Caenorhabditis elegans: one gene and its partner. The protein of the gene in region 2 interacts with the protein of the main gene of each other region in a pairwise test. Each region holds a gene or a part of one and is shown on either strand. Other genes may lie near its edges.

Region 1 (4,870 bases), on a different chromosome or scaffold from region 2:
TTCGTAAAAGTGCAAGACTAATATAAAAACTATTTTTAAAAGCATACAAAAACAACTGCTTTTTGATTCGCTAAAAAAGTAAGCTTTTTCATCATTTAAAACAAAAAAATGGAGACAATTGAAAGGTCTCGTCAAAAAATTTCAATCAAATTAAGACGACAAAACCACCACTTAACAGCAGCTAATCTGTTTTTTCTTCGTTTCTCTCATTCCCGTTCTCTCCTCTCCAAATAGGTTCACACCAGTATCATCATCTTCGTTCATATTATGTGAGGCCACTTTTCACAATGTGTGAATGGAGGATAAAGCTCAAAGGGTTACTTCTTAGGAGCAGCTAATGTCTTTCTATCCACTTCAAAATATTCTCATTTCAACTGGTTAAACTTCAGAAGGTCATTTCTCATCCTTCAACCTCCGGGGGTATGTCTAACTAATTGCGATGGAGACGTAATAACAACGGAAAAAATGTTGCAAACTACTGAATTACGCAACGGAAAAATGGTGGCGGAAAGGTACAAATAGAAGTGGACAGGTGTTGTTGTAACGCAAAAAAAAACTTATTCATCTGATGGAGACGTCGGGAAAAGGGTCTGTATTATAGGGGTTACAATAGAATTTGGACATAGAATATAATAATAGTGAGAAGGGCGATGTATATTGGTATGATGTATGAATAGAAGGCAAGAATCGACAGAAGGACCTAATTGTTAGTACGTACACTAGAAACAGATACCAACTTAACAACAGGAAATTTTAGCATAAAAATGCCAAATGTAAAAATATAATTTGATTGCATATTTGTCGGATAAATTATCAATTCGTCGAAATAAGTGTTTAAAGCTGACCATCATATGCTATATTTTCAAACGTACTTTTCGTGAGAACGAAACAAAAATGCTTTAGATGTTGTCAAAAAAAATCAATTTGGCTTGGGAAAATGGGAAAGTAGTTTTCGAATTGGCTTTAAAAACGAGAATCGTCGAAATCATCCACGAGTTACAATTTCAAAATATAGAATCGAAACACTTTAAAAACTTCTGTTTGATTTGATTTTAATTGAAAAAAAATACATGGAAATTGAAGTTTTCTTTAGTATTTGAAGATTGGAACGAGCAGCAAATTTGAAACTTAATCGCAGAGATTATTCGTCTAGTTATTTTTTTTTCGAAAAATTGAATACGATACAGCCAGAAGCACTGAATAGTTTTTTCTTCAATCTTTCTCCAAAAATCGTTCAATTCTATGAAAATTGTTTGATTTTGGTTTACAAAGAACAGGGAGTGAATGAGAAAAGTTTTCTTGGCACAATGAGGTTACGAGAAACGATCTGTAAAAAGAATGAAAAAAAAAACTGTTATCACTCACTTGTTCATTGCTAGAAATATGACTACTACTGATAGTTTCGAAATGTCCCGGTTCTTTTCCCATAAGAATCCAATAAACTCTTGCGTATGGATTACTAGCAGGTGGAGAACAATTTCTTTGGTACGGATCTCCAACTTCGACAACTACAACTTCTGGTTCCGCAGTTTTGAAATGACGAATCCATGTTTCTTGTACACGGACAGGACGATCAACAGCTGTTCCATTCGAATTTTCAGCTTCACATTGATATAATCCGGCATCAGATTCATCAAGACGGGAGAACACAAGGCTTCCTGGAAAATGTCATATTTATTTCAGAACAGGTTTTCTGAAAAACCGAACTTTTTTTTAATGAGAAATCAATATTTCTCGGTTTTTAGGCCTAACCGAAAATTTCGATTTTTTTTGGATTTGAGGAAAAACTGTTTTCCTGTTTTTCCTGCATGTGGGAGTTTTATAATTGCACAAAAATAAAACAAATTTGTTTATATTTAAATGAAGTGAACTTTTTTCAAATCAGAATAATAATTTGAAACAAACATTTAACTATTCAGTTACTCCATCTTTTTAATTTCAAAAATGTTCCATATTCTCTCAATTTTAGATTTTTACAACAACAAAAAATATTCACCTTCTCCTGGTTTCTGAACAACTTTCTCCGGAAACATGGACGGCAGGAACGTCTTACCATCCTTTTTCCAACGATATCTGTAATAAAGAAAATAGTATAAAAAACATATTTTGAACACTTTTTAATTCTGGAAGTTGAAAAATAAAAATGCAAATGGAAACTGTTCGTAGAGCATAATGTTGAATTTTCAAATTTTTTAATGCTCCACCAAAACTGCCAAAAGGATTTTAAAGCAATTTTAGAAGCAGTAAAAAGACTTCGAATTTTTTTTCAAATTTAGATAGAAACTACCGTATCTTTCCCAATTAGTATTGCATGCAAGTCTAATTTTCAATAAAAATTATTTTAAGATATTTGAAGATTCATTTTTTTTTCTAAATTTTACTTTTTCAGAAACATTACAAAAAACTTACGAAGGCCTTGGATTTCCATTTGCATAGCAATGAATCGTTTGTTCGAGCAGATTACCGGGCGTATTTTTCGCCGATTCATCACTCATTCCACTTTTTTCGACTTTAAAGTAAACGGTATCTGCATTCTTATCGTGAACAAATTGTGGAGGAGTTTCGATCGCTGACCAATCTATGCTGCCTGAAACAGTTTTTATTAGAAATGTTGCTACATATATATGGATATTTGACAATTGTTTCTGTTATAGAAATATTTGTTTTTTGTTCATAAATTTGAGCACATCAAATGCTTTTCAGCGTTTTTCTCAATATTATTTATTTACAATTTTTTTCTATAAAAAGGCTTTGAATATCTTGATTCCATATTTATTTTCATTTTTGCCATTAAAAAACAACAAAAAAGGGCGTAAAATGATGTTGCAATCAAATATGTCAACATGAATCGCCAATCAAACAATTTTCGAAGCGATATGATGTCCTCGACGTCAAAAGAATTCTCACCTGATGATATGTGGCCAGTGAGTAACAAGAGGAATATGAAGCTCCTCATGATGGTGGTCTTTCGACGTGATCTAGAATCGCGTCGAACTTCGTTCGATACTCTTTTTCTATCCTGAAATTGGAATAAAGCTTGCGAAGAATTTTGAGAGAAGTTCGGAGAAAAAACAACGAGAAATGAAAAAAAAGGAAACGTTAAGAATTAAACAAACATGAATTAGTTTGAAAAAATAGAATCTTCCCTCAATTTTCAAGAAAATAATTGTACTACTACTTGTGCAAATGAAACTATTCTCGTACAAAATCTGATTCATCTTTAAAATTTCGAAAATTGGGATTACATTAAAACCGGAAAATAAACGAAAGACTTTAAAATCAGAAGAATGAAATAAAGAACTTCTTATTTTGTCTAGGTTTCTCCTTTTCCCGATTATGCAAATGAAAAAAAGCGAGAATTCATGGGAATCTACCCCGCTGACCGAAAAGTGACCATGAGGAAGCACGTTGGATTAACGATGAGAATAAGAAATTAAATCTGTTGTTTGATTCATTACGAAAATAAAATTAAGAGAAAAAAGTTTCGAAAATTATCAACAAAAAAAGTTATTTTTAAAAAAGTACAGACAAAAACATAAGGTGGAAAAAATGGAATGCAAGATGAGAAAAGAAGGGCATGAGGAGAAGTCAACGGGGGTGATAGATGTATTCGTTGACAGTCCACACACACACACACACACACACACACAGAACCGACGCAATCTGCGCATGGCGGTAGCCGATGGCATTGTACTTTACCGGTTGTCTCGTTTTTTTTTGCAATCAGAACGAGAGCTGCTCCATTCTTCAGAAGCGGCCGTTCTTCAAGGACGTTTTCAGGAAAGAAAAGGAAAAAAGAAAAATGCGTTCGCGTCACGCTACTCGATTTTTGTTGCTCAAAATGTTCTACGCACGAGATGTCACCTATGAGACGTATGGATGCGTGGGTAAAAGAATAACAAGACTTCAAAGATTCTGGGCCACAAATCATTTACGACAGAAAATAGGTGATTTTTATCCGAAAAAAGCTAAATTTTCAACACAGCGCGTCTGAAACATTCAAAACGGGAACATGATCAGGTTTTTAACGGAAAATGTGATTTAAACGTTATTTCGAATCGAAAACGACTTTCAGATGTTTTAATTTACTTTTAGACTAATAAATTTTGTAGTTTTACAAGTAAAAACACTAGAAAAACAGAGAAAATTCAGAGTTTTCGTTAAAAATCGTTTTGGCGGCGAAACAAAACAAATGCAAGTACTGTAGCAAAGGCGCGCAACAGAGCGCACATGCTCGGGTCTCGAAACGATTGCAAAATTTCTGGTCTACCTTTCGATCAAGCCTAGTTTCTCTATTGAATTATTCGTTTTTTCTTTGGATAACGCGATTTAAAAATTTTTTTTAAAAAAATTATTTCTAAAATAAAAAAATACAATTCAGTTTCATCGACTTGGAGACATGAAATTTTTGATGCGAAAAAAAAACCTGTGACACCACAGACTATATACTTCCGGAGCATTGTGCTAAGTCGATCGGACAGATTTCTCGAAATCCTTTCGTCCGCATTACTCTCTATATGTCACGGAAGAAGGTCGTAAAATGAGTGTGTCTCTGAGCCAAAAGAGGTCTGGTTATTTCTCCAAATTCATAAAATTTGGATTTGGCAGTTCACTCTCTTTTCCTCATTATTCATAACACATCAATCTTGCTTTCATGAACACCGCCACGATGAGCAGATCAAGCAGAACATAGAGAGTAGCTTCAACAGCAGTGAACATCAAAAAGAATGAATTATTAAATAAAGTTGCTATAGAGAAATGAGAAGGCACGCTTTAGATGTATCAATATAAGGATGGGTAGGGGAAAAAGAGGGTATCTTCCGTTTTCTACAGCGGTCGGTCGGGACGGTAATAAAACAAAAAGGACAGA
Region 2 (5,104 bases):
GATGGTTTTCATCAAAGCTTTCTACGCAGAACTCAATCTCAAAGTCGAATAATTTTTATTTCATTGTTTTTTTGTTTGATACCTGTTTTGATTACCATTTTTTATCACTATATTTCTGACTTCTTTCTCATTTTTTTTAAATTTCCGGTCGATCTTTCACAGACACGATTGTATCCGTGCAGTATTTGAAAATAACAAATTTTTCTGATTTCTGTGGGTTTCACGTGAAGATCTTCTTCAAGAAGAGGTCATCAGATTGCGGAAGATCTATATTACCGATCTGACGCAAGACTACCATGTATATTTGGAAAGGAAAAATTTTCTGTGCAGAGGTTGATGGTTTAAATTTTGATTTAGATATTTTCTTCATTTAATTTGAAAATTTCCATGCCTGAAAATATCCTCAGTGAGGATTCTCACCTACCGTATACTTAAAGGCGCACACCTGTCTCAACCGGAGCGTTGCGAGACCCGCGGCATCAAACTACACACTGTGTTTTGATGATCTTTCGATCGTTCTCGAAAAAAGAAAGAGCAGAGTTCATTAAAACAAATGGCGGCAAAATGTCTATAAAGGCGAGTCGTTCTCTTCATTATCTTTTGATTTTCGATGTGTTCTCCTTATTGTTTTGTTCGTTGACCCCTTATCTGCATTCTCACCGCTACGCAACGTATATTTAACGTCAGCTTTTTCGCAGAAAATTTTTCTATATTCTCATGCAAATTTACTGTTCTCAATGCTGGACGTGTCGCTTGTGCTTTGATCTCAAATCTAACATTTTCCCTTCAAATATTTTATATCTGCAACGGTGGGGCAGAAATTTAAAAGTTGACCTTTGTCAGCCAACTGCTATCAGTTATCAGTTGGCCGGAGATCTTTCTATTTTCACTTTCTTGCAACGTATTCAGACATTTTTTGATGAATCGGTTCACAGAATTTTCGTCCTGATGTTGGTCAGTGATGCGCCAGCCGGAAATTAGAACCGTATGCCGTTATCAATTTTTCAAAGGCTAAAAAGTTATGAGGTGTATTTATTGTTTTAACACCTGACCTGCTAGTAGGAAGGAAATTAATTTTATGTTTAAATTGAAATGAAAGAGTCGAGCTCCACGTGTCGTCTCCCTAGTTTCTCTATTCCTCTTCTTCTCCGCCTATCTCTCGGCTTCTCTCCTTTCGCGCTCCTCTCACAATTCCTCCTAATCGTGCTGTTTTTGGGGTGGTCCAACACGGCAAAAAAGGCAGCAAAAAGTGTCTGCCGTCTCGTGCCTCTTTCTTATTGAAAGGGCACGAGAGAATAGTATCAAGAGGCTCCTCGTTCGGGCCGTTGAAGATGGTATCTGGTGCTTCGGCGGAGACGGGAGGAGCGGCCGTTTCTCGGGTCATCACAGCCCATTCCTTCTAATGTTTACACTGAACTTGTCGCAATCCCTCCTCTAAATCTCATTCATCCATTCATTCATATTCGTGTTATGTGTTCGCTTTTACATAATTTCCATTTTCACCACGTTTCTCCTCAAATTTGCATTATTTAAATCTCTGCCTTTTCATAAACATTTATAATTTTCAGGGTATCACCTATACTAACCATCCAAAATGTGCGGAATTTTCGCCTACCTCAACTTCCTGACACCGAAAAAACGATCGGAAATCGTGGATATTTTAGTCCAAGGATTGCAAAGAATGGAATACAGAGGCTACGACTCTGCAGGAATCGCCATCGACGGATCCAATGAGATCGAATCACCACATTCTTCGGTAGCACTTCTGCGAAAAGCTGGAAAGGTGTCCGTGCTCAGCGATTTCATCAAGGAGAGCTCCAGCGATCTTGACATGGATATGGAGTACAACATTCACTGCGGAATTGCACACACTCGCTGGGCAACTCACGGATCTCCACGTGATGTCAATTCCCATCCACATCGCAGTAACGACAAGAATGAGTTCCTCGTTGTTCACAATGGAATCATTACGAATTATCGTGAAATCAAGGAGTATCTCGAGAAGAAGGGACACAAGTTTGAGTCGGAGACCGACACGGAAGTCATCGCGAAGCTTGCGCAACACATTCACGATCGTTACCCGGATTTCTCGTTCCGGCAACTTGTGGAGACTGTCATTCAACAGTTGGAAGGAGCTTTCGCTCTTGCATTCAAGTCATCTCGATTCCCAGGACAACTCGTTGCTTCAAGACGTGGATCCCCATTGTTGGTCGGTATCAAGAGCAACTCCAGACTCCAGACAAATCACTTCCCAGTCTCTTTCTCTAAAGGTTAGTTCTTGAAACTTTTGGTGCAATTTCTAAGTCGTTTCGAGGCGGACATTCAAAAATTTCATACATTTTAGATGCTGGGTGGAAATGGGGAGACGAAAAACAAACTGATGGTAAATTTAAAAATGCTATTCCCTGGGTTTATTTTGGTTGCCTGAAATGCTTAATCACTGCTTAACTAACCTAACCTTGCATGATCTTTAAAAAAATCTATTTTATTAACAATCAATATGATTTTTCAGGACGTCGGTTCATGTCCAACCACGCTACTCATTGTAAGTTTACCATTTTCCAACCTTCTTCTGATATTAAATTCAATTTTTCAGTGCGAGATGAGACATCGTTCGTCGAGACTCCAAACAACATTCTGGACCTGTCAATCGGTATGGGTTCCCACTTTCATATGAATTTTTAATAGCATATTAGGTTCCCAAGATGTTTGCAACTTGCCGGTGAATGTAGATGATTCCCAGAGAAGATTGTCAGCGTTTATGAATTCTCTGAACGGTAGAAATTTGAAGCATGATTATTCTTGAACTCTTTCTCCACTTCTAAATCCTTGGGCGAATTAACTAACTCATCTCAATATCCCCAATCTCAAATTTTAAGTGAAACGTATTAATTCCATTTTTTCAGCCGTTCGTTCGTCTAATGGATCTGCTAAGATGGAGATCTCCGACAGCACGACGGCCGTCCGTCCATTCGACTCCGACGATTGGGAGGTTGAATACTTCGTCGCTTCGGATGCTGCTGCCATCATTGAGCATACCAAGCAAGTCCTTTTCCTAGAGGATGATGACGTTGCATTCGTCGAGGATGGAGCTCTGACTATCCATCGCATCTCTCGACACGCTGACAATGGAGAGCAAAAGAGAGAAGTAAAGCTTCTCGAGATGGAGCTTCAGGAGATCATGAAGGTTTGCATAGGAAAATGGGAATAACTTGAATAAAAACATATTTTTCAGGGATCTTTCAAAACGTACATGCAGAAGGAGATTTTCGAGCAACCGGATTCGGTAGTCAACACAATGCGTGGACGTGTTCTTCCATCGGGACAAGTCGTTCTAGGAGGAATCAAAGAGTACCTTCCTGATATCAAGCGTTGCCGCCGTCTGATTATGGTAGCCTGTGGAACATCCTATCACTCTGCCATCGCATGCCGTCAGATCCTTGAAGAACTTTCTGAGCTGCCAGTCGTCGTCGAACTTGCTTCTGACTTCTTGGATCGTGAAACCCCAATCTTCCGTGATGATGTATGTCTCTTCATTTCTCAAAGTGGAGAGACTGCCGATACGTTGTTGGCTCTCAGATACTGCAAGCCACGTGGAGCTCTCACAATTGGAGTCACCAACACTGTCGGATCATCCATTTGCCGTGAATCTCATTGCGGAATTCACATCAACGCCGGACCGGAAATTGGAGTCGCCTCTACCAAGGCCTACACTTCTCAGATCCTATCCTTGCTTATGTTTGCTCTCACCCTCTCCGATGACCGAATCTCCATGGCTAAGAGACGTGAAGAGATCATTGACGCTCTCAACGATCTTCCAGAACTTATCCGCGAAGTTCTCCAACTCGACGAGAAAGTTCTTGATATCGCCAAACAAATCTACAAGGAGAAATCACTTCTCATCATGGGAAGAGGATTGAACTTTGCCACATGCCTCGAAGGAGCTCTCAAGATCAAGGAGCTTTCCTACATGCATTGCGAAGGAATCATGTCTGGAGAACTGAAGCACGGTCCACTTGCCATGGTCGATGAGTTCCTCAGCATCTGCATGGTTGTTTGTAACGATCGCGTATACAAGGTAAGAATGAGCTGAATTGTTTTTTGATTGAAATCATTTTTTCAGAAATCGTTGAATGCACTTCAACAAGTCGTTGCTCGCAAAGGAGCTCCAATCATCATTGCCGACTGCACCGTTCCAGAAGGCGATCTCGCTGGAATGAAGCATATTCTTCGTGTACCAAAAACTGTTGATTGTGTCCAAAACATTCTCACAGTCATTCCACTCCAGCTACTCTCATATCACATTGCTGAGCTCAATGGAGCTAATGTAAGTTTACAATCGTCTTAATCTTGAAATGTACACGTATAATCTATTTTCAGGTCGACCGACCCCGCAACTTGGCCAAGTCAGTTACCGTCGAGTAAAGCGTCCCGTCTTCTGCCCAAACCACCCCAAGTGCCTTCTCACCATCTCGTCTTTTCTCCCACTCTGTGATTATATTTCCCTCACCAATTGCCTTCCCTAATTTATTGCATGTAATCTGGTATACCCAGCGATTCGACCAATAAAATGTGGTTTCCGGTATGCAGTGCATACTATGCACTTGTTGAGCATTGAGAAAACTGGGAACACCTCTAGTATGCTGGGATCGAAGAAGTTTCAACTTTTCATAAGCAAAATTCAAACTTGTAGGCTGAGTAAAAGTAAATATAAATAAAACTGAATGTTTACCTCTTTTCCGGTGCAGATCTGCTTTTCGTAGATACCTACGGAAGTTTAGTTGGTGCAGTGAAGTGTGCACTAATTCTGAATCTCGGAGGGAGCTCACCCGCCAACAAGTCATTATATTAGTTTAGCGTTTTTCAATTTTCTAGGACACCTCCTATTTATATAAATACTATTATAATTATTGCGGATGCGGTACGGAAAAGTCTACTTTTATGATCGTATGGGAAATCGAGAGCCGAGTGAAGCTGATAAGATAAGAGGTTTGAATCATGTGAAGTGAATATAGATAGAAATTATGTTTCTGGGTCCTGGAACAAACAAAAGAAATGGTGTTATTTTCTTGAAAAGACGTGTGCGCCTTTAAGCGGAGTACGG

Evidence for each region.
Region 1: the proteins of gfat-1 (region 2) and sax-7 interact in a two-hybrid assay, tested with the Caenorhabditis elegans proteins (one study listed by BioGRID).

What each region holds. Positions count from the first base shown.
Region 1 is NC_003282.8:8,060,818-8,065,687, reverse strand, and holds the start of sax-7 (Neuroglian), read right to left. Parts: upstream 3,030-4,870; 5' UTR 2,957-3,029; coding exon 2,908-2,956; intron 2,588-2,907; coding exon 2,410-2,587; intron 2,074-2,409; coding exon 1,997-2,073; intron 1,659-1,996; coding exon 1,366-1,658; intron 1-1,365.
Region 2 is NC_003280.10:11,591,873-11,596,976, reverse strand, and holds gfat-1 (glutamine--fructose-6-phosphate transaminase (isomerizing)), read left to right. Parts: upstream 1-1,567; 5' UTR 1,568-1,594; coding exon 1,595-2,270; intron 2,271-2,344; coding exon 2,345-2,383; intron 2,384-2,512; coding exon 2,513-2,545; intron 2,546-2,596; coding exon 2,597-2,653; intron 2,654-2,906; coding exon 2,907-3,187; intron 3,188-3,235; coding exon 3,236-4,078; intron 4,079-4,123; coding exon 4,124-4,327; intron 4,328-4,380; coding exon 4,381-4,425; 3' UTR 4,426-4,584; downstream 4,585-5,104. Other genes in the region: npp-5 (Nuclear pore complex protein 5), read left to right, coding at 1-52; F07A11.1 (uncharacterized protein), read left to right, coding at 4,917-4,989.